3 linked regions of the Danio rerio genome follow. The protein of the gene in region 3 binds, or shares a complex with, the protein of the main gene of each other region. Links are inferred from orthologs where the notes say so. Each region holds a gene or a part of one and is shown on either strand. Other genes may lie near its edges.

The links.
Region 1: the proteins of timm10 (region 3) and timm29 are in contact, whole or in part, in a cryo-EM structure (PDB 7CGP), measured with the Homo sapiens proteins. The link is inferred for Danio rerio from reciprocal best matches to the Homo sapiens genes TIMM10 and TIMM29. Residues at the interface, in NP_036588.1 of Homo sapiens: His30, Arg31, Lys32, Cys33, Pro35, Pro36, Leu43, Ser44, Lys45, Gly46, Glu47, Ser48, Val49, Arg53; in NP_612367.1 of Homo sapiens: Asp181, Asp183, Ile184, Asp186, Phe189, Leu192, Leu196, Arg197, Val199, Gln203, Leu204, Ser206, Asn209, Glu210, Leu212, Phe213, Asp214.
Region 2: the proteins of timm10 (region 3) and timm9 are in contact, whole or in part, in a crystal structure (PDB 2BSK), measured with the Homo sapiens proteins. The link is inferred for Danio rerio from reciprocal best matches to the Homo sapiens genes TIMM10 and TIMM9. Residues at the interface, in NP_036588.1 of Homo sapiens: Glu16, Met17, Asp20, Met21, Arg24, Ala28, Cys29, Lys32, Cys50, Arg53, Cys54, Ser56, Lys57, Tyr58, Asp60, Ile61, His62, Arg64, Met65, Gly66, Lys68, Leu69, Leu72; in NP_001291414.1 of Homo sapiens: Lys15, Leu18, Gly19, Tyr21, Asn22, Lys23, Thr25, Glu26, Cys28, Phe29, Leu30, Val33, Asp35, Phe36, Thr37, Thr38, Arg39, Glu40, Val41, Glu45, Thr46, Glu50, Leu53, Leu57.

The regions. Positions count from the first base shown.
Region 1 is NC_133178.1:33,029,627-33,040,999, forward strand, and holds timm29 (mitochondrial import inner membrane translocase subunit Tim29), read left to right. Parts: upstream 1-4,886; 5' UTR 4,887-4,896; coding exon 4,897-4,999; intron 5,000-5,632; coding exon 5,633-6,288; 3' UTR 6,289-6,507; downstream 6,508-11,373. Other genes in the region: protein YIPF2, read right to left, coding at 628-810, 897-1,063, 2,351-2,467, 2,619-2,706, 3,552-3,632, 3,727-3,878, 3,978-4,008. UniProt on the Homo sapiens protein: Component of the TIM22 complex, a complex that mediates the import and insertion of multi-pass transmembrane proteins into the mitochondrial inner membrane.
Region 2 is NC_133192.1:12,570,026-12,579,898, forward strand, and holds timm9 (mitochondrial import inner membrane translocase subunit Tim9), read left to right. Parts: upstream 1-26; 5' UTR 27-115; intron 116-392; 5' UTR 393-402; coding exon 403-441; intron 442-557; coding exon 558-653; exon of another isoform or gene 654-844; intron 845-2,624; exon of another isoform or gene 2,625-3,990; coding exon 3,991-4,125; 3' UTR 4,126-4,415; downstream 4,416-9,873. Other genes in the region: arid4a (AT-rich interactive domain-containing protein 4A), read right to left, coding at 7,067-7,170, 9,726-9,872. UniProt on the Homo sapiens protein: Mitochondrial intermembrane chaperone that participates in the import and insertion of multi-pass transmembrane proteins into the mitochondrial inner membrane.
Region 3 is NC_133176.1:47,642,661-47,653,547, forward strand, and holds timm10 (mitochondrial import inner membrane translocase subunit Tim10), read left to right. Parts: upstream 1-6,283; 5' UTR 6,284-6,462; coding exon 6,463-6,533; intron 6,534-9,555; coding exon 9,556-9,751; 3' UTR 9,752-10,850; downstream 10,851-10,887. Other genes in the region: uncharacterized protein, read left to right, coding at 3,468-3,790.

The sequences.
Region 1 (11,373 bases), on a different chromosome or scaffold from region 3:
ATGAAATTGTCTGAAAAGAACTGCAATTAAGCTACTTTGTAGAGAGCTATACAGGCATCCTAGTGGTACAGCATGTAATTTAACACCTTTACAAGCAGATGGCACTAAACTGACTTTATAAAATTGGATTCGAGTGGGAGAGTCTCTATTCTAACTAGAAATACTGCATTAATTAGAACAAACAAATATAGTAATCGTTTTCAATGGTGATAAAATTTATCTTAATTACTGCAAAAAAAGTTTTTTTTTTTAACCAAACCCCCTAAAATGCTAAATAAAAGAGATTAATAGTATTAAACTAAAATAAATTAAATGATTTTCCTGAAAATAAAATGTTATTCCACAGGTCTTTGGTCACTTTTGATCGGGAAGGGCACAAGTGTGATTCTGACTTCTAGGTAACCAGAGGGTTTAAAAAGTATAATAAAATTACTGAGCCCAAACATTAGAATGGCAAGCAGAGCAAGTTTTTTCTATCAAAACATTTTAAATGAAATGTGAGAAGTACAATCTATCAACTCATACCAGGATAACAGGAATTTACTCAAAGACAAGTAAAAATGACTGTTCTGTTTATCAGCCAAGGTGTATCAGGCCTGAAAAATTCCTCTAAAGAGTTTCTCTCACCTTACAGCCGACAGCCAGCAGTGCGTGAAGTGCCACGATAACAGCCACAGTGGCGAAAGCCGTTAGTTTAGTATCATCACGAACCGCCGGCCAGAACGTGATCACCAACACCGAACCAGAGATCACCATTGCAACCACAATCAACAACCACTGGAGCCAGTTGAAAGGAATAGTCCATAATACCTAAAAACAAATGGAGCATCACTTACCGCGTCTAAAATCAACAAGGCTGATTGTTTGTGTGCTTTTGAAGATTTTCCCAATCTTACCGAGGTAGGAATGTAAATGAACAAAGAGTAGCCGTAGACACAGACTGTCTCTAAAAATGTGTATCCGTTGATCTGTCTCTCGACACTTTGACGCCACGTGAGGAAGCCCCAAACTCCTAGTGGCACCAGCCATGCATAGAGGAACACCGTGACTGCTGCAATGGAGACTACAAGAAGAAGAGTTCAGATTAAAAGCAGATCTTGACTTTCACATTCACTGACTGGCAGGCTGTTTGTATAATGTGTAGTTAAAGAGGAAATAAGATTTTCTAAAAGATTTTTTTTAAATGTAAAAATAAATGATCATAAACATGTTTAATGTTCACTGACTTCAACATCTTTGTAATTTACAGGTGGATTTCCCTCCCAAGAGGTAAGCAAAACTCTTTATTGTCCAGCCCAAAACAATTGTACAATATAGAAGATAAGAATAATCCTCGGAATATGCATGTTTTCATGAAAGGGTGTTTTGGGTGTGTGTACAAAGGTAGTTTGAAAATTCAATTTTCTCTACAAATTCTAACAATTCACATACACAGCGCAGTTTTACCTTTTAAACATTCATTCATTTTCTTTTCATCTTAGTCCCTTTATTAATCAGGTGTTGCCACAGCGGAATGAACCACCAACTTATCCATCATGTTTTACACAGCAGATGCCCTTCCAGCCACAACACCTATATACTCTCATTCACACACACACACACTCATAAACTATGGTCATTCAATTCACCTACAGTGCAAGTCTTTTGACTGTAGGAGAAACCAGAGAAACCTGGAGGAAACCCATGTAAACATGGGGAGAACATGCAAACTCCACACAAAAATCCACAGAAAAACTGACCCAGCCAAGGCTCGAACCAGCAAACATCTTTCTGTGAGGCTATCGTGCTACCCATGAAGCCCCTTTTAAAAATGTATGACTTTAAAAACAAACATCCTTTCATAACCTTTTATCTATGATATTTTTACATATAGTGGGTTAATTCTGAACTCAACCAGTGTTTTGTTTTTTAATAAAAGAAAGAAAACAAAAAAAGAAAGCCAAAATATTACATATTTACTATGAGTAATTTACTTTTGAGGTCAAAATAGAAATTTTCACCAGTAGTTTTTATAAATTAGACAATATATTTTACACATAAATTCATGAATTGTCATTTGGTTCACATGTAAATATTTATCCCAGCCTACAAAATAATGGAATATTTAATTTGGGCTTTCAGTAGTTTTCATATTTATTGGAATATTGATGTGTATATATATATATATATATATATATATATATATATATATATATATATATATACTTTACTTTTTTACAAAATCAAATATTTTAGCAAAGAAGGATTTTTCAATGTATGAGTCTTTTAAAAATGCAATGGACAAAAATCTGTTTTTATTACACTGTTATCATGAACATAGCCTCATTTCCCATTCCTACAGGCATCTTACCTCTGTGAAATTGAGGTCTGTAGTGATACTCTGGATTTCCCATCTCACTCAAAAATGTGGAGAGGTTCCCGCTGATGGCCAGTGAGAACACTAGAGTCACACAGATCCAGAAAGGACCTGAAAAGAGAAAGGGAACAAAAAGTGTCAGTTGCTTAATAAACCACTAAAGCAAAAATACAGTGAAATATATATATATATATTTATATATAAACAAAAAATAATTATAATTTGGGCATGTTTTGAAGATTTGAGAAACATGGTCCATTACCATATAGATCAGGGTTGCTTCGTATATGATGTTTGATGAAATTCCTTCCTGGCAAAGGCATAACTGAGCCCTTTATCCTATCCAGCACCTACAATGATGAAAATAATATTATCTGTAATATACAAGACACAAGCTGTTGATGTACATAATTGAGTGTGACAGCTATGAGTAGGTACATGACAAAGAAATCAGGATTGCCCTTTAGATTGCTAGTAATCTGATCAAATATATATTAAGAAATTAGATTTTAAGAGGACAACATTATATTTTATAGTGCAGTTTTGTTTTTTTACCATTATTACTTGGTGGAAATACTAGTTAGCATATGAAGAGTTTATTAACAAAAACAGTTAACTCCACTTTTATTAAAATTCAGATATCACGTTTTATATATTGTGCATTGATGAGTACAGCTGCAAAAAAAAAAACATGATTTATGGAAATGACTAAAACTGTAGCTTTTTAATAGTTTTCAGAAATCATGTTTACTTTGAGTATTGATAAGTTATAAATACCCAAAAATGTCTAAAAACTGATTCTGTATTTGCAAATGATGTCTTCATATGTTTTTTCATTTTCTAGATTAGATAAAGTCTTGTTTTATTCTTCAGACGAAAACTACCTTGACAAGAATACATTTTAAATGATTTACAAAATTGTTGTTTTATTTATTCAGTGTTTCAAGTTTGTATATCAGGACTTATTTAGAAAAAGACATTAAAAAGAAGCACAGTGCATCTTTCTAATAGAAACCACGATGTTTTACTTGTTTTGTCAGCATAAAAAAAACTATTACACCTAAACGTAATGCATTTTGAAATTGTAACTATAATGAATAAACAATGTACCTAAATTACGGTCAATTACATTTGTACCATAATGAACACACTCAGATATTTACCACAGCTGAAGAGGTAAAAAAAAGAAACACACCTGCACTGTATCTACGTTGAAGAACGACTGATAGTATTCAAACGTCCAAAACCCACCAGTTTTCTTTTCCCCTCCAAGCAACTGTGGAGAATATTGCACAATGTGGAAAAACAACCAGTGAGTGACTAAATTAGCTGCTTGTGATATGTTGTGACCGTTTTGTTTGGCGTGTCACCTCTGAACTCTCCTGCTGATTCTCTTCATCGTCGGACAGGTCGAGTCTGACCTCTCCAGATGGGGCTGCTGCTGCTGCTGGGTTTGAGCTGGAGATGCTGAGGGTTGAGGCTCCAGGATTTGAGGACAGGAGATCTTCGGCTTCTTCAAACTCTGAACATGTGAAAAACAACAGACACAACTTAAAACAGATTAAAACAGAGACACCTGAACAGTAAGGTACATAACGTTACAGATGAACACAATCCTTACCTTGAAACTTTAAATCATCTGGACTAGCCATGACTGGAGATCATACGAATTCACTCTTCAAGGGAAAAACGACTGTAAATTACAAATAATTTAATCACACGACAGCTGTTACCACTGAAATCTGAACAGATTTAGACTTGACTCACTCACCTGGCTGATAATCCAGCAGTGTGTTTCCTGATGCTGCTATTATTCAGCTTGTGTCGAGCTAGCAAATACAAAAACAATCGTTTTGTCAGCTCGGCTGGTGTTTTGTAACACCCTTTGGCTAAGTGGGATCAATAATATCTGCAAACGATTCGATTACAGATAGAAATCATTTGATGCAGTTTTAATACACAAGGATTTAGCGTTATCGTCCCCATATTCCACGTCACCTGCAGGGTTCCGCTGCGTCAAAACACAATCACGTGACCGGAACAAAGCCGGAACTAAAATGTGTGTTGGCTACCTGAATGGGAATTGAAAACAACCTGAGCATAATATGATAAAATTACTATAAACTATTATTACTAGCTATAAAACATGGAATTGTGTTTTTCTTCTTAATGTGATTGAAATTATGCAAACTATTGTATTGTTTAATTAAACATACTTTATCTTTTCTATTCAGTGTTGTAGCGTTAGTATACTGTTATTAATGTGTATGTCTTAGTCCGTATGGACCTTCGATTGACATCTGTTATAACTGACAAAACGGGGCAAAATTTTGTTTGGTGGAATGGGGCAAGGAACTTTGTGTTTCCTCTCCGGAACAATAACATTTCACGTACCGTGTACTCGCCATTTTGGCTCAACAGTTTCACCATGCAGCACTATTACGTTTATCAAGATTTGGAAACTCTCGGCTGAAACCTCTTCCTGTGCACATTCACCGTGAACTCTGAACTTTCACACTTACTCGAGTTCATTTGCTAACATGGCCGCCTCGTGGCTGCTGAAGAGATGGTGCTCCACGGCAGCTAACGTTACAGTGACAGCCAAGGGCACACGGTGGGAAAGGCTAAGAAACGGTCGCGCAGGTAAGACTAAATGCTTATCATTTTCCCCATTTCTGGAATGAGTATTAAAGATAAGATTGATATTACCCTTAGCTACCCAGATACGCTAGTCCAGTGTAAGTTTCTTGTATTTATCTGATTTCTGGGTAATGTATACATGTTAACATTTACCTGCATAACCGCAGCAGCAACTTATGCAATAACTTTATTATAATTCATTCAGATTTACAGTATAGCATTAAGAATGTATTTCAGTTTGTAGTATTCCTAATTAAAATATAGCTCCATCCCTTAAAAAATGCAGAAGATACTTTGAAAAATGTTGCAATTGGAAGCCATTGATATTCTTAGATGGGGAAAATACCATAATAGTCAATCACAACTGTGTTTTCAGCATTATTCTAAATATCTAAAGAGACTAAGTAGGTTTAAAGAAAAAAAAACTGACTATATAAAGACGTAATTAAAATATCTGAGTGAACGTACTGTTTTAATTGTAATAAATGACTTTATATAAACTGAATTTTAGATTCGATTAAACTTTTAAACTATTGTCATTACACATGTACAAGTACAATGCAACGAAACGCAGTTTAGGTCTAGCCAGCAGTGAATGGTTTGTCTAAACTCTGTTAATCTCTCGGCTGTTTTCAGGTGTATGGTTCCGCAGTCTTTTAACTGACTATAAGGAGGCTTGTCGTGAGGCGGTGGTAGGGGCCCGTGATCGACCCCTCAAAGCTTCAGTCTACCTGGGTGTTCTGGGAGGAATGTACGCTTGCTGTTACACCAACCCTGATGATTCCTCCTTTGAGACCAGCCTGCTGGAAACCTCCAACCGCCTAGCTCTCCTGTCGCCATGGATACGCAGTGGCACCTCAGATGGACACATCCAGACCCTTGTGAAGCTGCGAAACGAGGGCAGGCTGCGCTATGCCAGTCTGGGCATCGCCTCTTTGACTTATTACGCAGACTACGATGCTGAGTCTAGCCTGTATGAAGCGCGATGCTCTGCCATCTCTGTGCCCTGGTCCGAGCTGCATAAGCGTGTGCTGGACGTGGGCTTTGCGGGACGCTGGTGGGTGCTTGATCATAAAATGAAGGACTTTGATATAAACGAGGAGGAGTTCAAACATCTTCCTCCCGCTCTGGTGGCAACAGTCCCACCATCACCACAAATAACTGAAAGAAACGAAAAGCTGCATGAGGACTCATGGAAAGCTGTTGTGATGGATGAGGAGAGCAGTGAGTTAGAGGGTGTACAGAAAGACATGGACACAGCTGATAAAGGAAAAGAAAGCATCAAAGCATAAATGTATTGATGGACGTGGTAAAATTAATGCTGTTTTTCATACAAGAAGGATCAACTGTTAACAAGGAATGTAGTAGGAGACATTCTTGTACTACTAAAGACGAGGAATGATGATTAGAATGTGTTTATGCAAGTAAAGAAACATTTTACCACTAAAGATATGCAGAAAAGTGTGACTTGCTGCCTACAAGTACATTAAAACAGCTGCAGTATATGCTGACATTGTGTTATGTGAATGGATTATTAGTACTACATCAGCTCAGCAAAAATATGAATGTCTTTTAAGTTGATTAATTCTCCGTCAGTGAAGGAAAACTCACACAATATTTAGGCAAAGGTATAATGTTGTGTGTATTTGTTTTGTTCAGAATTCTATTTAAAAAATTTTCCTAAAATATTGTTATTTAAAGGTTTTATTATTTTTTTTAAAATGGCATTTTCAGAAAACAAAGGGTAAACAAATGTGAAAAGTTGCTTTCTTAATTTTAAGCTGTGTTGTCTAAATTAGGCCGTACTCACACTAGGTACAGTTGCCTCGAACCGGGCCAAAGCACGCTTGTCCCCCCTCTTGTCTCCCCCGACGGCCTGCACTCACACTACAATCGGGCCTGGGCACACTTACGTCATCGATGCTGCGCTGTTCAGTGAGAAGCGCTGTCACTCAGCAGCACAGTGGAGATTTCTCTAGTTATATAGTTTCAGTCGTTTGTTATGCGTTGACATGCAGTCAAATATTTCGCCAAACAGTCCTTAGGGATGCGGTGACACGCAGTCAGATATTTCGCCGTACAGATCTGCCACTTTTGGCGCTCATAAACAATCACAAAGCTTTCATGCTGCAGGAATGAGGAGGTCTGCTGAAGGCGCGCAGCTGTCGTGCAGTGAGGGGTTTGGTCCTTAATAAACTGAGTTTGCGCTCATTAAACAGTAAGAATGATTAATAAATCCATATGAAACAGTCCCTTTAAAGTCACGTCTCGTTTTCAGTTTCGGGCTTAAACGTGTTTGGCACTCACACTGCAAACTTCTCGTGTCAAAACCCAAGTGAACCCCGCTCAGGCCCACCTCTTCCAACAGGGCCAGGGCCAGCCAAGTGAACCGTGCCTGAGCCCGATTCAGCGAACTCACACTTCTCAAATGATCCCGATACGGTTCGGATAGCATAGTCTGAGTAGGCCCTTACTTTGATCAATATATAAGACTAAAAACATTGCACCTTTTTTTTGCTATTTTATGCAATATATATATATTTATATATATATATATATATATATATATATATATATATATATATATATATATATATATATATATTTGGAAGAATTTAGTTTGGAAGATTTCATTAGTTTGTGGTATAAAACAAACAGCTTTTTTAAAATACATAACTTAAAACCATTAATTCAATGTGTATGTCTCTGTATTTAAGCATCCAAAAACAGAAATGTGTGCACATGTAGGATTCTCAATGGCAGGTGGCAGGTGCTCGATCAAAAACAAACACAGTGGCAAAAGGTCAAAGGAAAATTGAGACATTGCCACTTTAGCTCTTAAATTTTATTTTATTTTTTAAATTTAAAAATTGTTACATTTCAATTTTTTGAGAGCTAAAGAGGCAGTGTCTCGATATTTTTATTTATTTTTGGACCTTTTGCCACTATGTCTCTGGATTTACAATTTATATTCATTGTATAGTTATGTGATTAAATATAAATGTATATACATACATTTCAATAATTTAGACGTTTCTCTTCAGCAGAGAACGCAAAAATATTTACACAAATATATTAAGCAGTACAACCCTTTTTCAATGTTTTATAGTAATAAAATGTTTGTTAGGCATTAAAGTATTCAATTTAAAGGGTGAAAGGGTGACTGACCCCAGCTGGGTCAGTTGGCATTTCTATGTGAAACATGCACTAAATACTGAATCTAAAACACTAAAAACTGAACTACACTGTTCCAGTTTACTATGATCTTTATGTGAAGCTGCTTTGACACAATCTACATTGTAAAAGTGCTATACAAATAAAGGTGAATTGAACTGAATTGAATGTTCTCCCCATGTTGGCGTGGGTTTCCTCTGGGTGCTCCAGTTTCCCCCATAAGTCCAAAGACGTGCTAAAGCTGAATTGGGTAAGGGTACATCCAGTGTTATGGATGTGAAATTTGCATAAATTCGCATAAAAAAAAAAACAGAGAAAGTATACGTTAACATTATATTGAAGCAACAGTTTATATTTTCCAAAACAACTAACCACAGAGTTATGGGATCTGGAAAATATCAATCTGTGAACATGTTTTAGATTTTAAAATAAACATGCAACCAAAAGAAATGATGCTAATTAAAGGGATAAGTGTCGGCTCACAATAGAACAAAAATTATTGATTTTACTTGATTTGACATTTTTGCCTTTACAAGAAAAAAGCTTGTGTTATGGATGTGACAGATGTAATGTTGGTACTTGTGTGACTTTGGTAAATCAATTATAATAATTTGAAAACATTGACCGAGACATTTTTGAGTACTTTTTAAAGTAAATACTTGCTTCCACAAAAAACAAAGAAATTATTTTGCTATTTTTATGTAAACTTGCTTTTTTTTCATGGCATGGTTGACACTTGCATAAAATTGCTCGTAAGCTAAGTGAAGTTTATTCATAAACTAATTTTGAGACTCGTGTTTATGATTGACTGGAGCTGGTCCTGCATTAGCTAACGCATGATCCACCAATTAGATGATTCCTAAATCACTATAAAAAAACCAGAGCACCGTAGCATCTTCATCTTGAAGAATCCTCCCTTCCACCCCTTTTTCCTTGACAGGGCGGCCCGGGGGTTAGCACCGTTGCCTCACAGCAAGAATGTCACTGGTTCAAGTCTTAACCTGGCAAAGTTGACATTTCTGTGTGAAGTTTACATGTTCTTCCTGTGTTTGCGTGCGTTTCCCCTGGGCTCTCCGGTTTCCTCCCATAGACATGTTACATAGGTAAATTGACCAAATCAAATCGACACCACAGACGAGCGCTTCCTCAGCAATATATCTCGCCAAAGTAATTCTTAACCTGCATTCACCTGAAACAAGCAGGGAAGTTCTCGAGACCTACCTTAGCTCAAACTGCAAACAAGAGGGAGCCCTGGGCTCAAGGATCTCATGAGTTCTGGGCTCTCTTCTATTACTCGCTTTAAAATCAACCATCAGCTAAGTGTCAACTCTTGAAATTGTCCGTAGTGTATGTGTGTGAATGAGAGTGTATGGGTGTTTCCCAGTGATGGGTTGCAGCTGGAAGGGCATCCACTGCGTAAAACATATGCTGGATAAGTTGGTGGTTTATTCCACTGTTGCGACCCCTGATTAATAATGGGACTAAGCCCAAAACAAGAATGAATGAATAAAAACAGCCATTTGTAATTGTAACAATATTTCACAATATGACCACTGCGTTTTTAGGCAAATAAACTGCTGATTGACCATTCACTTTACTAACCAACAACATTTTTGCTGCCTTCCAAAAAAAAAAAGGAATTCATGTAAAAAAAAAAGAGAGTTGGCTTAATTATAGCCATTAATCCCATTACCTTTGACCTTCTATTGCAGTGGCTGACTTTGATTCATTTTCAAGGGAAATCCTCTTTTACATTAATCTCTTTACTCTTCCTCTCTCTGGCTTGTCTTCCCCCATTAGTCTTTCACTCGCTCCCCCCATGCAGTCCTTCCTAAGATGGTTGGTATTGATTCGCTGGCTCATGGAGCTGCATTCTGTGCTCTTTTTTTTCTGATTGGTATCTCAGCTCCTAAAGAAGATTGTTCATTCTGATGTGCGGCTCTCCTGCAATAAACCATACGAACGCTGCACTGACCCGTTCGCAACAAGCTAAACCAGATTATATTCTCAGCGATAGAGCTAATAATGAAAGTTAAGTCTACTAGTACGCACTTAATGATGAAAAGCACTTAAGATGCGCTAATGAAAGTGTGGGAGGCCCTTTCCAAGAGGTTTCTAATAGTCCGGGGTGTAACTCAACCTCGCTACAGTCAATGTTGAAATAATAATCTCATTAGTGTGCATTTACAAACTGCCTAACAGAAATATTGCGTGTCACTGGAGACGAGTATTAATGAGACCAGACCTTTAGGTGGCTTCAGGCAATCCTAACGACGGCCTTTTAACTTCTCCACTGTTATAAACTGTTGTATATTGAAATGGTCACTTAGCATTATCACGCTGCCGTTATCCAATCACTAAAGATTTTCAGCCGCCAGGAGGATGTTGCTGTAGCCTCGGGGCAGCGGTATCTGATGTGCCTCGATCCTCATAATGTACTGAAGCACTCTGTCTGTCCATCAGGGCGTCCACAGGGACCAAGACATTGGCTGATTGCTAAAATGGAGGAGCTTTTTCCTAACAGTGCAGCGCTCTCTGTGAGACACTCTCCGCTCAGACGCACCACCGCTGCGTCCCAGTGCTTTTAAAGTGCTGTCCCTGCCCTGTCTTATTGCCTTCAAGCTCACTGATCTGAGATAACTAGGCAGTGGGAAGCAATGGAGTGGAAGCCCACCATGTTTTTCAGGTAGTGTCGCTGCTGTCTTGTTTGCTTTTTTACTAGGCTGAATGATGAGGGAGATGGAAAACTGGTAGGCGACTCATTCATTTTTGCATTTGCTTTGTCTTTATATTTCATGGATCCTTGGCTCTTCGTTGTCTGAAGCTACTTTTAGTTTTTTCATAGCCATGTGATACTAAAATAGGAATATTTATATAATATTTATGGGATGGTACTGACAAAAACATAAGCCTGTTTTAATTAATTTGCCTTTGTGCTGTTCTAAACATGTAATGCTTCTTTCTTTTTTGGAGAATTAGAAGTTGTTGGTCGTTCTAAATGATTTTGGCCTTTCATAGTGCAAAACAGCACTGGAAGACTTTGTAAAAATGAGTTGAAGCAACTCTTGAATGCTTTTTAGAAATTTCACACTGTTAAAAATGAAAGTTCCAATGTTTTTTCTAGTGATGCTGAAGAATCATTTTTGCCTCCCTAAACGACTTTATAAAAACAGTTCTTCCAAGAGCCATCGTTTCTTTCTTAA
Region 2 (9,873 bases), on a different chromosome or scaffold from region 3:
ATAAATAAATCGAGAGGGCTCTTATTTGTTGCGAAAGTGCCGCTGTGAAGCAGCTGATAATTTCAGTCAGTGGTGTTCTCACATGTCCTTCACAGTCTGAGCTCTTACATCAAAGGTAGCAGCTTTAATACTTTCACATGCTTTACTTATTTATACGGTTTTTCCCGTCAAAATCTTATTTATCGTAACGCGAATATTAATGCATTCAATTTGAGAGGCATTTCTGCACGGTCGCTGTGATAAATGTACATGATGCTAAAGGCTAATGTAGCCACTCACCTCTCACTGCTCTGAGGCCTTTATTACTAAAGATTCTGCATTTATTTTAGGAGATTCTGCACTGTTTGACAACAGAAAGATTTATGTTAATTGTTTATTCGTCTGTTTTAAAGCATCGTAACGATGGCAGCTCAGGTCACTGAATCAGATCAGATCAAACAGGTAAGAGAAAACACACACACACACACACACACACACACACACACACACACACACACACATGCATATTTATTGAATGTATATAGTTTTGAATTTGAGTTGTTTATTGTATTTTGTAGTTTAAGGAATTCCTGGGAACCTACAATAAACTGACAGAGAACTGCTTCATGGATTGTGTGAAAGATTTCACCACAAGAGAGGTCAAGCCAGAGGAGGTATGTGATTTTATGAAGAATTCAAATGTTTAAACTTTAAATGGCATCAAAATTACCTTTAATCAGTAAAACTTACCCTGCGTCTTCAACAATATCTCTGTAAGCAAGTATTTTTGTTTCTATGGTACAATCCTGGTTCACCACAAACTTCTTGAAATTAAATGACAATAAAACTAAACTTTTACTTATAGGTACACGATCCACTTTAAATAAATCCCATAGTTTTTCCATTTCCACAGAGGATTCTGTCATTACCCCCTCCCTTCAGGTTAAGAGTCTGGGGGTCATCTTCGACAGCACCCTTTCATTCACTGCACATGTTAATAATGTCACCCGGTCCGCCTATTTCCACCTTCGAAATATAAATCGTTTACGTCCTTCCCTCACACCTCACTCAGCTGCCATTCTTGTTCATAGTTTAGTCACATCCCGTTTAGATTACTGTAATTCCCTTCTGTTTGGCCTCCCTTAAAAAAACTCTTCATAAATTACAACTGGTACAAAACGCTGCAGCCCGTATTATCACATAAACCCCCTCTGTCGGTTACATCACACCCATTCTACAACAGCTTCACATCTCTTACAGAATTAATTATAAAATACTTCTTCTCACCTTTAAAAAGCCATCCACAATCTCGCTCCTCCATACCTTGCTAATCTTGTTCATATCGCCACACCTTCTCGAACACTCAGGTCTTCTTCCATTCACCTCACTGTTCCCTCTGTCCGCCTTGTCACCATGGGGAGCAGATCCTTCAGCCACTCTGCTCCTCAGCTTTGGAATTCACTTCCTCCTGTTCTCCGTAATGTAGACTCTTTCACAATTTAAGTCCAGACTCAAAACACATCTGTTTAGAACAGCCTATTCTCTTTGACCCGATTGCATTGTTTTGTATAGTATTCTATTGTTTTTGTGTTTTTATTTGAATTGATTGTTTTACCTGTCCTGTACGGTGACCTTGAGTGTCATGAAAGGCGCCTTTAAATAAAATGCATTATTATTATTTGAAGTCATACATTAAAAGGTTAAACAGTAATAGAAAGAAAAATTAAGACTAAATCAAGTTTAATTGAGTGTTTTTGCAGCTTTTTAAACGTGTCCATGTGTAGACCATTTCAATGTGGTCATGTCATTGGCCCATAAACATTTCCTGCTTGTTGTCAAACTATTTCATAACTGAACAGAGGCAATTCAATCATAGCGTAATGTTAAAACAGCTATTATAACATTATTTGTCAATATTTGTCTCTTTTTAGATTCCTGGAAGCTACAGAAATTAAAAATGTAAAACAGGAAATACGTTGGGACCGTTGTTTTTGTTTACAACCCTCAAAATGGTTTATGATTTAAATGCTAAAACCATTTTGAACAAATCTTTAGGCTTTTTTTTTAATTTCTTACTTGTATACCAAAGATAATACTTAAACTATTTATTGCACAAGAGGCAGCAAGTGTAATGAGTTTTGGACCCTGTGAAACACCACAGCTCTGAGATGCTATTCTCGAGGCATAATTTTGAATGGTGGCTGTGAAAGACCTGTCTGATATGCAAGATGACTCCAAAAATATTTCACTGGTGTGAAGAGGAGATCATTTTGCTTCTTTGTATTACCATTTTACCTTATGGCCACAGCCCAAGACTGGTTACTCACTGAAGCCAAGCAGGGCTGAGCCTGGTCAGTACCTGGATGAGAGACCAAATGGGAAAACTGAGTTGCTGTTGGAAGTGGTGTTAGAGAGACCATCAGGGGGCGCTCAGCCTGTGGTTTGTGTGAGTCCTAATGCCCCAGTATAGTAAATTGGATGCACTATACCACAGGTGTCAAACTCAGTTCCAAAAGGGCCGCAGTTCTGCACAGTTTAGTTCCAACCCTAATTAAACACACCTGATCAAACTAATTGAGTCCTTCAGGCTTGTTTGAAACCTACAGGTAAGTGTGTTGGAGCAGGGTTGGAACTAAACTGTGCAGGGCTTCGGCCCTCCAGGAATTGAGTTTGACACCCCTGCACTATACTGTTAGTGAGCACCGTCTTTCAGATGAGACATTAAACTGAGGTACTGACTTTTTGTGGTCATTAAAAATCCCATGGCACTTCTCGTAATGGTCCCCGTTCTCGTGTAACCCTGGTGTCCTGGCCAAGTTCCCTCCATCGGCCCTTACTGATCATGGTCTCCCAATCGTCCCCATCCACCGAATTGGCTCTATCACTTTCTCTCCACTCCGCCAATAGCTGGTGTGTGGTGAGCACACTGGCACCGTTGTCCTGTGGCTGCCGTCGTATCATCCAAGAGGATGCAACACTGGTGGTGGAGTGTAGAGACTACCCCCCTTATGATTGTGAAGCACTTTGGGTGTATGACCATACACAATAAATGCGCTCTATAAATACACATTACATCTAATCAATTCCTGAGGATAAAATCAAGTCAGTTTTTTTCTTGTCTAACAAGCTGTTTCCACCACAGGAGTGTGAGCTTTAATCCCATTCTGAGACAAAGTCAGAATCAAGTTATTTAAATTTAGAATTGTGGGATTTAAACTTATGAGAATAACATCAGATTTTTTGACCTCCATATTGAAAGATAAGAATTCACTAATTTGCCTTTTTTTTCTCTAATAATTCAGAGGAATAAAAAATGAATTTATATTTGTTAAAATAACAAATAACTATAATATTAAAATGACAAAATAACAGTTATCAGGGTAAAATTCTGTTTCATTAAATATTTAGATTTAAACTTTTTCCTCACAGTTGTTATTATAGTTCAGGGGTCACCAATCTCAGTCCTGTAGGGCCGGTGTCTCTGCTGGTTTAGCTCCAACTTGCCTCAACACACCTGCCTGGATGTTTCAAGTATACCTAACAAGACCTTGATTAGCTTGTTCAGGTGTGTTTGATTAGGGTTGGAGCTAAAATCTGCAGGACACCGGCCCTCCAGGAACAAGTTTGGTGACCACTGCGTTTAGTTGATTAATGACGGTGACACTTTAGCAAGCTTGTATCTCACAGTTTTTGGTAAAACCTCAAGGTTTTACCCCCAAAATCGTCCTTCCACAATACCTGGTTGATCTGAGATTTCAAGATATATCTCAGATCTATATGTTTATCATAAAGTCTGTGTTAAAAATAACTATACATGTCAAAACATTAATAATATATAAATACAAGTTTGGATTTGTTAATTGGCAAGAGAAAAATATTTACAATTTAATTATTATAACAAACATTTTTTGCAATGTTTTTTGTGTCATGTCACCATAAATAAAAAAATAAAAACACTTATTCATTATATGTAAAGCTACATCTTAATTTTAAGTATCAACATTCTTCTAGACCACATGTTCTGAGAGCTGCTTGCAGAAGTACCTGAAGATGACACAGAGGATCTCCATGCGCTTCCAGGAATATCACATCCAGCAGAACGAAGCGTTGGCCGCCAAAGCCGGATTATTAGCACAACCACGATAACAGACTGCTGCTGGACTGAACTCCAGACCATTACGCCAGGCTCTCTGTATTTCCAGCACAGAGCAGGAGTCTCCAAACGGGCCCTCAGAGGTTCAGGACTGCAGATAATACCGGGAGAAGTCCTCTACTGTCTGCCTGCAGATATCTGGACTGATGGGATTTTTGGTTTCCCCCAAATGGAAAGACATTCCTCATTTTCGGGACATTAAGCAGGTCGGCCACATAACATGAAAGATCTTGATTGTTTTTATGTTAGCATGCTACAAAAATAAAATGTTATGAACATCTCATTCCCGAGTAAATTTATTAATAATATATACAAGTATAGGTTGATCAAGAAACAAAAAAAAAATCTGATATTTTCAATTCAATGACAAAAACAATAATTTAAATAAATAACTATATAAAAATTATAGCTATATTTTGTAGTTGAAGTGAAAATATCTACAATCATGCAAATACTTTAAGTTAATTCCTGTAATTATGTATACATGGATTTACATTCACTGGCCACTTTATTAGGTATACCTGTCCAACTGCTCGTTAATGCAAATTTCTAATCAGCCAATCATATGGCAGAAACTCAATGCATTTAGGCATGTAGACATGGTCAAGACGATCTACTGCAGTTCAAATAGAGCATCAGAATGGGGAAGAAAGGTGACTTAAGTGACTTTGAATATGGGATGGTTGTTGGTGTCAGACGGACTGGTCTGAGTATTTCAGAAACTGCTGATCAACTGGGATTTTCACACACAACCATCTCTAGAGTTTACAGAGAATGGTTAGAAAAAGAAGATATCCAGCTGGCGGCAGTCCTGTGGGGGCAAATGCCTTGTTGATGCCAGAGGAGAATGGCCAGATTGGTTTGAGCTGATAGAAAGGTCACCGCTAACTGTTGGCTACTTCCAGCAGGATAACGCACCATTTCATAAAGCTCAAATCATCTCAGACTGGTTTCTTAAACATGACAATGAGTTCACTGTACTCAAATGGCCTCCACAGTCACCAGAACTCAATTCAAGAACACTTTTGGGATGTGGTGAAATGGGAGATTTGCATCAAGCATGTGCAGCCGACAAGTCTGCAGCAACTGCATGATGCTATCATGTCAATATGGACCACAATCTCTGAGAAAAAAATTCCAGTACCTTGTTGAATCGGTCACGAAGGATTAAGGCAGTTCTGAAGGCAAAAAGGGGTCCAAATAATTTCTCTGTATATTTTAATTGGATCATTATTGTGATATCCAACAATTATTGTGAGAAGTGCCATACAAAAAAGCCTGAATTGAATGGATCAACCAGTTAATAGAGAAAAGATCTGAATAACTTCTTAATATTTCACAACTTTATTAGAAATGAGAAGACCTCTTCTTATTTTACATAAAAGTACAATGGCTTTGCTTAGGAACCTAATGCCTTCATTCCTTCATCCAGGAATCTGTAAATAAACTGAAGTCACAGGGAAGCAAGTTCATCGCAGTGAATGAATCGATGCCTACAGCATAAAATGTTCAACATAGTCATCATGGGTCACTCTAGACAGCTTGGGTTTAGGTTCCTAAATGGTTGATTATATACAGAAGTCTAAAGATGTGCTAGTGCTCCTAACAACTGGACATAGAAAAGGAGAAATTAATTAATATACAAAGATGTACGCTTTAAAAAATAATATAAATCCTTTTTACAGTTTGTGTAAAATGTATTTTTCAAATACATGGTTTTTTTGAAAGCTCTATTTACAAAAGGAACAATCAGTAAGAAACCCCTGGGCTTAACGTAGTTGAGAGAAGCAACTCATTTATTTAATTGGTCAAGAATGAAAATAAGAATTCGAAAGTACCAGGTAATAACTGGGAGAGAGAGGGAGAAAAAAAAGGAGCATGTCACCAATTTCTGGTGTTCCCTCAAAGTAGCTTTGGGCCCAAACGAACAAAAAAGAAAGTGGGGAGGATTCGGTTTACTGCACAGTAGTTACCCAAATTGTGACGTCACATTCAGAGAGTTTCAAGACAACCCCACAAATTTGACCCCCCCCCCCCCCCCCCCCCCCCCCCAAGCGAACCGAACGCGGGACAACTGCGATTCTCATCTTGTAAAAAATACAAAAATGCCGCCCGCCGACTGAATAAATATATTTAACAAGTTGCAAGATAATACCTTTTATTTTACACACACAAAAAAAAAATTCAGCGCTAGAAATCTTTCATTAAATAACTTCACGGCTGCGATATAATATTTCGAAATTTTCCATACTAAAAATAAAAACTCTGCGATTACATATAAAAAGACAAAATGCACTTGCAAAGGAAATTAGTCCACTGAAAACAGTTTCATCTCGAGTTCCACTGTAAACATTTCCGCTTTATTTATTACGTTTTTTTCTTTTTATTAAAAACGAGAGACGACAAAAATAGGATTTGCATAATTCTCTGTGCTCGCATACTAAGATAGAAGTGGAAGACGCCGGCTGCAGTTTTCAGTAAACTACATTCCCTTTTGCAACTGACTTTGTCCTGCTTTTCCAAAATAGGGCACTCTGCTGTAACACGTTTTACTTTGGCAGTTCTGATGGAACAAGCGCGCTACAATTGACCTTTCATTGAATAACCATGTCCAGCTGGTTAAGGTGACCATTACCTAGGGATGTGACTGGAGGATTGACTACTGCATCCAAACTCCGGTCTGAAGCAGTAAGAGGAGGTTGCCTGGTCTGTTCAGCGTTTGTGAAGTGAAAAGTGCCGTCGTGTTGCTCTGGATGGATCAATCGTAAGCTTTGATATCATCGATTTACATTCAAGCCCCGCGTGGAGTCCGTTTTCCCGTTTGGTGGAGGCAGGATCAGGTCTGAAAGTGCAGAAGGTGGAGGCGGTGGGCAGTCGAGTGCTGCTGTCAGCGGGACTCTGGGAAGGCGGAGGTGGAGCGGATGCCGCCTGACATCACCTGCACTCCACGGCCACAGTGTTCTGCGTGGGCGAAGCTGAAGACGGACTCATGCCCGTGTCCGAGGAGCCTGATGAGGTGGACGCTGTGGTATGGGACACTGTGGAACAGTAGAGGTCAAAAGGTCAGTAATGCACAGAAGACAATAAATAGAGAAACTAATGATGTAACCATTTCCCAACCCTGTTTCTGGAGGCACACCAACAGTACATGTTTTGGATGTCTCCCTTATCTGACCCATTTATTTGAGGTTTTGTAGTCTCTTCTAGTATTCTGATGAGTTGATTTGAGAAAGAGGTTACAAAAATATGTACTGTTAGTGTGCCTTTAGGAACAGGGTTGGGAAACACTGGTGTAACTAATCTCACTATGGTTTGAGTCACATATCAGACTGTTATAACGATCAGCAAAGATCAGTGATGTGCAAAGGACAACAAATGGAGAAACTAGTGGTGTAACGTAGTGTTTCCCAACCTGGTTCCTGGAGGCACACCAACCAACAATACATGTTTTGGATGTCTCCCTGATCTGACCCATTAATTTGAGGCTTTACAGTCCCTCCTAATGTTCTGATGAGTTGGTTCAGATGTGTTTGATTAGAAAGAGGTTAAAAATGTGTACTGTTGATGTGCCTTCAGGAACAGGGTTGGGAAACATTGGTGTAACGCATTGTTTCTTAACCACATTCCAGGAAGACCACCAGCTCTGCACTTTTTCCATGTCTTCGTAACCGAACACACCTAATTCAGATCATCAGCTCATTAGCAGAGACTGAAAGACCTGTAATAGGTGTGACAGACAAAGGAAACATCCAAAACATGCAGTGCTGGTGGTCCTTCATGAACATGGTTGAGAAACACTGGTGTGACGGATCACAAATCTCACAGTTCGAATCACACAGCGGTTTGTGTCAGTTACTCAGATCAGCAAAAAAGGGAGCAGACAAATGTCTTGAGCTTTCCATGAATTACAAAAAAGTACTGCAAGAAACTTTAGATTCTAACAGAACTTAAATTAAAAATTAAATTAAATAAAAATCAAGAAATAATTATTTTTTCTACTGTTGCTGATAATGCAAAAGATCTTGTACAAATCTTATCTTGTACAAATTTATTTTTAGTCTCATTTTCAATTGATTCAATAATTCACACATAAAACTTCATGTTTCATTACTAGATTTTTGAAAATCTGTTCAGTGGCATTTTTTAAAAAGTTTGTCACCACCTATTGGCTAAATTATGTAATTGCTACAACATTCAACAGCGTCAAGTTGCCTTAAAGGTGATTTTAATCTTTACCATAAACATCAGTGTTAATATCTAGACTATAGGCTGTTCTCCCAGTACATCTGGGTTATTTGATTGTTTGAAACTAACTGAAAAGTGTTAAAAGTGAACCTCAAATGATGAATACATGTATGCAAATCATCATTTATAATCTTGGATTAATCGGCAAGTTAAAAAAAATAAAAGTTATTAGTATGTGAATTGTGCATTTCAAACCGTAGGGCGTGATCCATTAGACCCCCAGAAGAAACCCAAATATTAAATGTTTACTAAATTTAAGTATTTATTTGTATTGTTTTTTTTTTTAAACATTTGTCAAACCTGATAAACAGAAAAAAGCATGAAAGGACATGAGATAATTGTTGAAGCCATGTTTTAAAATATTACTTGAGTTTTGATTTGTTGTTCAATTTGTTGGTTGTAAACATCAAGGCATGGCAAATAGGAAGGCAGTATGCCAGAAGTGGGTCAAACAACCACTTTTCGAACTCTACATACATTTTCGTTAAAAGATACGATTGTTTTGATATAATTTGTATCTTACTTTTAATGCATTTTTTTGTTAATCAATTATTTATCAAATAAACAAGATCGAAAACTGAGTGAAATGAACTATTTAAAACCAAGTCTGCTACCATACTGTGATCAAATCTAATAAAACTAGAAACAATGATAATAATGTTGCTGGTGCTATTAATGTCAATAATCACATTTTATTACATTATTTTAAGATAAAACAGTATTTATCTTTTTTTTTTAAAGTATCAAAAGAAAACATAATTATTTCTATCATTTGAAAGTCTCAGAATATTTAAATATTGGACAATCATAATTAGTATTCTTAATATAGCAGAAAGTATTGTATCATTTGAATATTGCACAATTATTTTTGAATGTTGTACATTAATTATTACTATCAGCACTACCAACTTCAAACAAATACCCATTTACTAACAATGTAATTTTTTTTAAATATCCAATAATGTCTTTAACCTACCATTATCGTTTTAAAGCCTCACAATATTTGAATACTGTACACAACTAATATTATTATCATCATTAATATATTTAGTATAATTAATTATCACAAATAATTATATTATTCTTATTACCTATATTATTTTTACATATATATATATATATATATATATATATATATATATATATATATATATATATATATATATATATATATATATATATATATATATATATATTAAATCCTAAAATGTAGTAGCAGTATTAATAATAGAACTTTTTGTAAATATGATGGTATTATACACATTATTATTGCTGTTTTTTTTATTTCTCTAATAAAAATTTAATTGTTGTAATTCAATGAAGTATTTAAATAATTGTATATATTTACCTTCTCTTTCCTTCTTTTTTAACCTTTTCCGCCTCCTGTCGATGGAAGCCACTTCAGACTTGAGTGACATGTAATATTTCCTGATTTCCTGTAGCTTGTCTTGCAAGAAAGAAATGCGCTCAGCACTTGACATGTTGTCCAGCTCAGC
Region 3 (10,887 bases):
TCCAACTACTCAAGGTGTTCAAGACTACTAGACACTAGTAGATTAACTGTTCAATTAAGGTTGGAGCAGAGCTGTGGCCCTCCAGGAATTGAGTTTGGTGATTTATGTGTGTATTTTGGAATATCGTATAAAAAGACGCTTAATTGAAATGGAAAGATGCTCATAAAATTTGAGAATGCACATTAAAAACTTGCACTTAACCAAGTAGGTTAAACTTTTTATCTGTTAATGTTTATGAACAACTATGAAAAAAAAAAGATATACTGAACAAATTCCAGCATGCAAATAAAAAAAGTTAAAAAAAAGTTTAAAAAAAAAAAAAAAATTTTTATTATTTTTTTAAATTTATTTATTTATATATTTATTTTTTTAGATCATGTGATAACAAAATAAGCATGGTAGTCAGGGCTTAATTTATGCTGGAACACTCTGGATCAGGATTCGCACCTCATTTTACCGATCCCCCTCCTCAACTACCCTCCTCCCCCGTCTACTGTTCACTGTCTTCCGCGACTCCCCAACCCTCTTTACTTTCATCCGTAACACCCTCACCACCCCACTCTTCACTTTCGTGCACGACTCTGATCTGTTCCGGGACCTCGCAATTCACAAACTAAGCACTGGTGATGGTATAGCATTTATGAAAAAACTAGTGGACAGATCAAATTATAAAACATCTCAAATGTTGTATTGGTCATTCTAAAATCCTTAGCCAAAGTCAGTCATCAATGTGGTTTGGTATTATTATCTTCAGTGCTTAATTTGAGCCGGATCTTGCTGGATCCTGTTCCAGGCAAATTCAGATATGTGTTTTGCGTTACAGTGTTTATTTCCATTGATCCGGCATTAACTTTTGGGTGGTGAATACCTGCATGTGTGTGTGAGAGAGAGAGAAAGAATGTGACTGAGTCTGAGGCCCCATTTACACTAGCGCATTTTAGTTTTAAAACAGCGTTTTAAAATAAAAACGATCCAAGTCCACACTAGCGTTTCACCCAGCGTTTCTGAACAGCTCTCCGTCCACACCAAAACGCTGAAAACGCACATCACGTGACCACACACACACTATCAGGCAAGCGGTGCAGCCTATCTACCCAGATGAGAGCTCTGCTCGTCGGACTGCTCATCAAGCATCTCTCGCTGGATCTAATCTCACTATATTTATTGAACGTGATATTTCATTCATCTTGTTGTCTATGTCTAACAACATATTCCCAGACTTTGGTCATTGGAATCTATTACCTGTTCTCAGATAACGCGTTTTGGCTAAGCGCAAAGATAGGTTGATAATTAATGTACCCACATAGCCTACATTCTGTATATTGACTGATCGCTTGCCTTTATTTCCTATAATGTATAAACTTATTGTATGTTATACTTTTATAATGGCCATTATCGATTATTAAAACTGATATTCAGCAAAAGAAAGGGTATGTTTCGTATTTTCAATGAAAATGAAAGGAGGCAGTTGTTATTGGCTCTGTCTTGTTATAAATATCCACACAGTGAAGATGATGCTCATAAATGCAGCACGACGCCTCAACATTTCTGCTGTCTGTTAAGTTGCTAATATCAAAATGAAAATAGGCAGTTCCTTAAATCATGTTTTCATTTTATTGTTGAGAAAGTAAAACAACGTAGCCAGGGTGATGTGTATGAGTTATTTTCGCTTGGCACATAATAATGAAATGACCTGAATGCCAGTGATGTTCATGAACTGAATCGTGGTGTTTTATACAATTTATGTTTGTAGCTGCATGTTTTTTTTTTTTTTTTTTTTTAATGGTTGACCCATAACATTATATGGCACATAATAGTTATAGACCGTTTAGAAATGTTATGCTTTTTTCACTATAACTGCTTGGTAACGTCGTGTTGTGGGAAAACTGAAATTGTTTGGCGGATGTTAGTCACGGTAATTTTTATTTCCTGGTTTTGTTCGGGGAATCATTCATTTACAAATTAAGCACTGATTATCTTTCAGATGTTTCTTGAGCATCTGCACTCATTTAGTCACCTCCAAAAGCCACCATTCATTGCATTTCTGAGGCAACTAATTTATTATGTAAGAAAAAAGGCCCACAGCGGTGTCTCCTGCCACAGCAAATTTAGTTTTTCTGTTTGGTGTTTGGCGTAATTTATCAGGAAGTGACTATCATCATCTCTTTAACTCATCACAAATGTTTTATTCGATATTCCAGTTTTGTGCTTTAGTTTGATTCGCTACTTTGGCTTTTACACCTAAAGTGCAGAAGCAGGTTTACAACCAATGCTATGTAGTTACTGCTGTGGAAAAACCAGTGTCAAACAATGCAGTGTTTCAATATTATTGGTTGGATGCTTAGCAGTTGACAGACAAACGTGTACCTCACATTATCTATGTTTCCACTGTTGGGATTAAGGCCAGCTTTTTACTGTCAACTTCATAGTATAGTCTATAACAGTGGTTTAAAAAGTAGGGGTTGGGACAATGAAGACGGAGCTTGTTAATTTCCAAAAATCAAATTAGTTATATTAAACCATTAGAATTACCATATTTTATCAATAAGATACTGAAGATAAAATAGTAGTTTATACTATAAAGTTACTATAGTAGCTTATAGTTACTAGTTCAATTGGATTAGGACTCCTGGGGTGATTACATTATATTAAAGACACAGCAATAGCATCAGATACGTCAATAGCATCTTTCTGGCACTTTACAGCACTCGCATACATTAAAAAAAATTTAACGAAGTATAGACATGGGTCAATTGGTGTGTGTGTGTGTGCGCACCTTTGCATGCAAGGTTTCTGTATTTATACCCACCTCAGAGGATATTGGGGGTCGCGAGTCACTGGCATTGTTATTTTGGGAGTCGCGGGCTAAAATGTTTGTGAAACCCTGGTCTACAATGTATAACATGAAAAACAACAGTGCTCAATAAAGTATGTAGACAAGTCACATGCTGCATTCATCCAATTGCGACAGCAAGCTCTGCAAATAATTAGAATAACCCAGGAGATTACAGTGTGACACATCAGAATACCCAGGATTGAATATTATATCGAAGTATTTATACGTTGATGTTTGAATATGTTCAAGTCTGCGTCAGTCAGAATTTGCTATGACTTTTATTTCAGTATGTTGATGTACTTCCTACTGATGTTGATGTACCTTCAAATTGATGTCATCAGAGAAGGACCACCACTCCAAACGCAGAAGCAAATAGTCAGACTTTGATTGAAGATTACTAAAACTAACTTTTTTTCCAGTGTATTAACTTGCACAGATTAATTATTCACCAAACAAATAACAATGTTCACTAGTAAAACATTGCTCAACATTGTAAATCATGATTTCAAAGTGACTTTTTAACAAGAAAACTTGGGCTTATAGAGTGACCTAAGGTTTACTTTTTCAAGTGTGGATATTTCCTCTCTGATAATAATAATTAATATTCTCGATTTCTGTTTTGTCCTTGTAGTGCTGACAGCAAAAAACACACAGGAAATAATAAGCACAGATGCTGCTTGTGTCCAAACTGAAGCTAAAAGCATTGAGAAGCCACATGTGTGCACTGAAGAGGTCTCAACATTGCTGCCCAGCTCTGATTCAAAAGAGGACACTCAGCCTGATGAGGAAGACATTGAGGTAGATGTAGAAGGGTCTGTTGGCTCTCCTTTAGGGCTTTTGGCAGCTAGACAGATCGTCAGATTGACCATTGAGAGTCCACTGGACCTAGAGGATGAGTCAGAGGATGATGAAGAAGAGGAGGAGGTGGATGTCACCGGAGAGGAGACTGATTGAATTTTTTATGTTCATGTTACAATTTATTAACCTTAATAATTGTTGTCAATAGCAGATGTTTGAGCAAAGTTCTCAAAGCCCCGAGTTGATTATATCAAATGGTGAGAAGAATCATTTTTGTCAGTTTGTTGTCAAGAGATTAAGCCTATCAATTTGTTTTCCGTTGTCTCGTACATGTGTAAAGTTACATATTAAAAGTATGTAATTAAAATAAATTTACATTATATATAAGTTCATATTCACTTGAATGTGTGGTAATTATTTGAGATACTACCGTAGATGTTCAAGAAGAAGATTAATATTGGCATTAACAAAAATAGCTTTAATTTTAAACGAATGTTTTTGTTTTATAACTGAGTTGATAAACTGACAATAAATAGCTGTACGTGTGTGTATTTAAGAAAGGTTTTTAGTCTAAAAATTCTGTCAATTTTAGTCGTATTTAAAACAATAACTATATAATACGTTAAGAAAGAATTTTGTTGGTCTGACTTCTTCTTAAAAAGGTTATAATAGGTCCTCTTTAAGAAAGATGTAAAATAAGTCGCTTATATCTCTAAAGCATGTATGTGTAGTTTCAGCTGGAAACACCCCACAAATAATGTTTTATAACTCTTTGAAACTGCTCCTTTTAGACTTTGACCCTAAGTGTGAATTTTTGTGACTGTCACTTTAAATTCAAATGAGGTCTTTTCAAAAGAGGGCGGAGCTACAAATGCCTGTGTGTCAGCATAGTGGCAGATCCAAAAAAAAGAAAAGGCTGCGTCCGAAACCGCATACTTCCATACTGTATATTACGCTTAAATCGGTATGCGAGCCAAATGGATGTCTGAATTCATAGAATACGAAAATAAGTATGCGAGAAGTACCCTGATGACCTACTGCAGGGGTGTCCAACCTCGGTAGTCCTGGAGAGTTTAGCTCCAACTTGCTTCAACAGCTGTCAGGAAGTTTCTTGTATATGTGGTTAGAGCTTAATTAGCTGGTTCAGGTGTGGTTGATTAGGGTTGAATGTAAACTCTCCAGGACACTGGGCCTCCAGAACCAAGTGTGGACACCCCTGACCTACTACTTCTATAGAGAGTTGTGCATCCCATGCATGGTGCGCTGTCCCATGGTGCCCCGCGAGAGAATTCATGAATGGGATTGAAGCGACACAACTGAAGTTGCAACCTGATTAAGGCTGCATTTACTTAATGTAATGTCCATGTTGTGATTTATGCATGTGATGTTTACAACAGTTTTATATTAGCTTGTATTGGTTACGTCGTGGATAGTGTGTGCTCTCTCGTTAACATGCTTATAGACTTGTGCTACATGACAATATCAAAGCTTTTTTAGTCCTCGTGTTTGAGATTTAAGTTTTTGGACTTGTGAATTGCAAGGTCCAGGAACAGATTGGGGTTACAAATCCGGCATGTTACCCTAGGATGTAGAGGTGTCGCGCACTAAAGTTTTAAGGGGGGTTGGTCGTCATGGATAAAAGTGAAAGAAGAGCCAGGGGTAGGGGGGTCGCGGAAGAAAGTGAAAGTGAACAGCGGACGGGGAGGAGGGTGGTAGAGGAGGGGGATTGGTAAAATGAGATGCCAGGCATAAATAATGTTCCGGCATAAATAATGCCCTGGGCTGCGTCCGAAACCACCTACTATTCAGTAGGTACTGCATTTGAATTTAAACGTACTACTCGGTCGTTAGTAAAGTACGTTCTATACAGTATGAATGTAAAAAATAATAAATCAATTCGGACGTACTACATCTGCCATTTTGTCATAATCACATGACCTTCCTGTGTCGGTTGCGTCGCTTTACTTCCATTCATGAATTCTCTTGCGAGGCATTTTGGGATAGCGCAGTGTGCATGGGATGCGTCATCCGGGTACTTCTCGCATACTGATTTTCGAATTCTATGAATTCGGACATACCACTCGGCTCGCATACTGATTTTAGCGTACTGTATTATATGGAAGTATGCTGTTTTGGACGCAGCCCTGGTGTTCCCCTCTAATGGCATGTACAAAGGGGGATGTCAATCGAATTCTTTCTGCAGACGTTATTGTATGGAATTTGTACTATTATAATAATGCTTTTTGTTTTTCTTAATCGTTACTTTTTATAAACTGTTTTTGTTAAATGTTAGAAAACTGTTAGGGGGAAAAAGAGGATTCCAGCACTACTTATTTATTGATATATATATATATATATATATATATATATATATATATATATATATATATATATATATATATACCATAAAATATACATTACACTTTTGAGCTTTCTTTCTCCTAGGTTTTTTCACAATATGAAATTATAATCAGTCAATAAATGTAAGCGTTATTGTATTTTATATCCGAGAAAAAGCAGCTCCTCCGTTCAGTTGCGTCTGTTTACAGCGCACCGATGACCGGTTTAAGATGGCGGCTGCGTTGACGTATCGGAGCAGCGGACCGGACCGACCACGAGGCGTCTCACTTTTCAATAGAAAACTTTATTGTCAGCGGATGTAGCAATTACAACGCTGGATGGAAAGGAGGATCCACGTGGGTTGTTTCTCCGGTCAAGCACACAGACACTGAAGGTTAAAGCAGGCTGTCGGGGCTCTTTGTTGAACGGGATCCGCGCGCAGACCGGTGGGTTTTTGTCGAGGGGGAACCGAAAGGACGTTTGCAGAAATGGACCCAATGAAAGCGCAGCAGCTCGCCGCAGAGCTGGAGGTGGAGATGATGGCTGACATGTACAACCGGTATGCAGATTTTATTCATATGCAACAAAAATTATTTGTGTGACATTACTTGCATTATTGATGCAGACATCAGATATGCTATTGTGCAGTAGTTTGTGTAGCTATTTGTTTTTTACGATTAGTTGTAGTATAACGTTATTATGTGTATTAAGACACCAGGCCTTGATCAAGATCGCATAATTTGACATTTTAGGGCAGAATTCAGTAAATCTATATAATCCTTGATGTTTGCTGCAATAACCTGTATCATCAGATTACGAGCATTGCTATTGCAGTGACAGGTCCATGCATTCAAGTCCTGCACATCTTGAACCGTCAGGTTCATTTTTTTGTCCTCTGTCACTTTGAGAAAGTTAAGTTTGAGTGTTTAATTAAAATGTATGCGCTGATCCAATGTACAAGTCAACATTTGTGTATAAATACACAATTATTAGTTATTAGTATGCTTTATATTAGATTGGTGTATTAAAATGTTATATAAAAATGCCTGTGACATTGACATTGGTATATCCTTGTGAAGAGCTTTTTAAGTGAAAAAAAGACTAATTGAGTGTTTTATGTAATGTTCGGTTGTTATGAAGTTAAATATTTGCCATTCCTATGCATTTATTCCTACTATGTAAAAGTCTAGAGTTAATAATTGTATGTGGTTGGGCTGGATAATCACCTACTCAATTTGATGGATATTTCTCTTATTATTTGTTGAAAATTACTAGTTACATAATGTCAATATTACAAGTTACATTTTGTTATAGATGCTATAAATATAAAGGTATAGTTGTTGGTACTATAATATGGGACATTCTACCAGAAAAGTACATTTTCACTTATAAAAAATGTGATAAGACCTGACCTTTAAGCTTTTCTTTCTCAAAAACAAAAAAAACAAAACAAAAAAATCATGCAAAAACAAGCATGAAATCATACAATTCATTGATAGAATGCATCTTTGATCACTGTCAGCTTCTTCATCAAACGAGTCATAGCCTTAAAGGTGTATTGCATGCATTTTATTTTAAGTTTAATATAAATGTAACAGGACTGACAGAAACATGGGGGCAATTGTAAAATAGTATTTCTTTGTTGAATTTATTTATAGTTTCATGTTTTAATCAGTTAGTGTGAATGCTAATAACTTAAACTTGCTATTTTAAAAGTTTTTTCCCCCTAAATAACAGTTTATAGCATAACAAAAGTATTAACACTGTAGGTTCAGTTGGGCTGAGGACAAGGATGACAGGGTTTATACAGTGTAAAATGTTTTTAATAAAGAGCAAAAATCTAAGAACCAAATGAATGACATATTCCTTTACAGAACAACTCACAGAAATCAACCATCGGTTCAGTTTAGAAAGTTTTTGGGATGAAATCCTTTTATATTCACTATTTGTTTTTATTTCAAGGACGAATGATGTACATCTCAGGTAGAATGTCCCATATAAATTATATTTATATTGATATTATACAAATATTTAAAATTTTCTATGGATTCCTTGAACCATGAAAAAATGGTGGTAAAAAATAATGTATTGAATTATTTCTGAGGAGAGAGAAAAAAAGTGTTTGGAAGAGCAAAAAGGTAGGCCAAAACAACTCTAATAATATTATATTATTATAATAAAAATATCCAAACTCAATAATATATTATTAATTATAAAGATTATGTTATCATAAAGAAATGTACTGAAATTGACAGTACAGCTTGTTGATGAATGTTATACATTCAAGATATTAATTGTAAATCGACTGACTTCTCCAGATCACATATTTTTGCTGCTATAATTTAGCAACAGTCTTGAAGGGTCCTGCAAATCTATTGTGGAAACGAAAATAGTTACACAAAGTCTCTTCTCTAGTGCACTTCACAAAAGTGTGCTTACTCCATTTCATCATCCTAGCAGTTTTTATGATCATAAATTTGGGAGAGCAAAATATTTCAACACAACCCTACAATACAATTGATGCAATTTGTCTAACCTTAACCAGATGGAAAACCACAGATTTGGCAACCCTGTTGTCAGGTGTTTCTTCAGATAGTATTAATGCCTAATACAATTTTACTCCTTGATTGTCAATAGTTTAGCCCTACTGTTGTAGTCTCTATAAAATAACGGATTGAGTTAATGGACGTTATTAGTGCTTAAATCCGTTGTTCAGCTGTTCCAAAACTGTTTTTCCCATTCATGTTATTTATTAAAATGTTAGAAATGATCATTGGTAAAGAATTATAAGCCATGAACCAAACCAAACAGCTGCAAGGAGAATCTGAATGTGTATCAAAAGTAAAATACATGAAAATTTGACAAAAGTCAAGTAATTTGGTAAGAGCTACAACATCATGAAGTACTGTGAACCCAATTTCTAAAAAAAAACATCAGATAAATGTATATCTTTTATTTAAAACTGAATGGCTCTCTATATAGAAACAATATATCTGACATATTTTGTTTCTTCATGGAAGCGTGTGGAGCTAAATATCAATAATGTGTGCTTTCCTCGCTGGAGCTTTGTGATTGGTGGAAAGTCTGTACAGCATCATGGAAAATGTAGTTTCCCTGCACCGATTCAGCATATAAACATTCATTCATTATTATTAACCTATATTAATCTGGGGTCATCACAGCGGAATGAACCGCCAACTTATCTAGCACATGTTTTATACAGTGGATGCCCTTCCAGCCGCAACCCATTTGTGGGAAACATCCATACACACCCATTCACATACATACACTGGACAATTTAGCCTACTTGATTCCCTTGTACTGCATGTCTTTAGACTTGTGGGGGAAACCGGAGCACCCGGAGGAAACCCACACAAACACAGGGAGAACATGCAAACTCCACACAGAAACGCCAACTGACCCAGCTGGGGCTCGAAGTCGAACCATTGACCTTTGGCGATTGTGCCATCCACTGTGCTGCCTGCTTATGAACATAACAGTTTTGAAGATGAGTGAATGTGAACAGATGGGTTCAACCAAAGCATATAATCTCATCTCCGCTCTTCTTTCTCCTTATGCAGGATGACCAACGCGTGTCACAGGAAATGTGTTCCCCCTCATTATAAGGAAGCGGAGCTCTCGAAGGGGGAAGCTGTCTGTCTGGACCGCTGTGTGGCCAAATACTTGGACTTGCATGAGAGACTCGGCCGAAAACTCACAGAGCTCTCGGTTCAGGATGAGGAGGTGATGAGGAAAGCTGCTGCTGGAACTGGATAATCTTATATAAACTCCAAGGGTGGGGGATCAAGTCCTTGGATGATGGGGTTTATGGGAGAAGTGGGCACAATTTGGACATCCAAACAGGGAAATCTGACAGGATTGCCCATGGATATATACCTTCTAAAGTGAATATGAACACATATTGACTTTCTGTTAGATATGCCATGTGAGGGGTTAAGCGTTTTGGAGGAGATGATTGGATGTTTTACCTCAGAAGTTGATGAGTGTGTTGGCTTTAGCAGTTATTGACAGGAATAAGATGTCTTGTTGAAGAAATTTGAGAATTGATATCCTTGTGAAATTGTTGGTAACTTTTTATGTTGGCTCTGTTCATTGTTATTTCTGTCGTTTTACTAAATCTTTCTTTATTGGTCAACAAAATAAAAATGTTTACCATTTTGTCATGTTCTTGAATATTTTTAAATCGTTTTTGCAGACATAGAAAAGCAAGGAACAGACAGACAAACCATCATATAACAATAATCTGTGCTTAATGTAAAATAAAGCATGAAACAAGGGAAAATAATGACATATTAGACATATATCACCTACAAAAATACACAGCAATGGATGCAAAAATCTTGCAAATGGATTACAAATCTTCAGAAATTACACAACAATATTAATCTTTATGGTGTTTTAGAGTCTGGATTCCACATTTTATCAAATTTCGCAGAGTTCTTAGAAGTCCAAGAAGCCCAGTCTGAAAAAAGAGGCCTGGCATTTTTCTTCCAGAAACCAAGGTTAACTTTTTTTTTTTTTTTAGCTATCATGCCATTCTGAACAGGTAACCGTACATTTAGGTTAAGTCTCCAGAAAATCTGAGCTGCCAAACATTGCCATCATTGGGTCAGGGAGTAAAGCACAATCGCAAACCTTAATAAGGTACTGAAATATTTCTAACCAAAAAAAATCTGAATTTGAACACAGGACCAAAAAAGATGTGCTCAGCAGCTTTACACTTGTCACATGTGGGGGAAACTGAGGGATAGAATTTACTAAGCTTGGTTTTATAATAGTGTAGTCTACGTAATACGGTGTACTGAATAAGGCTGTCTAGAATTTATAAATCGTGAATAAACGGGTAACATTGTCATTTTCTGATTCTTTATTCAAAGCAATGTTCTGAAATC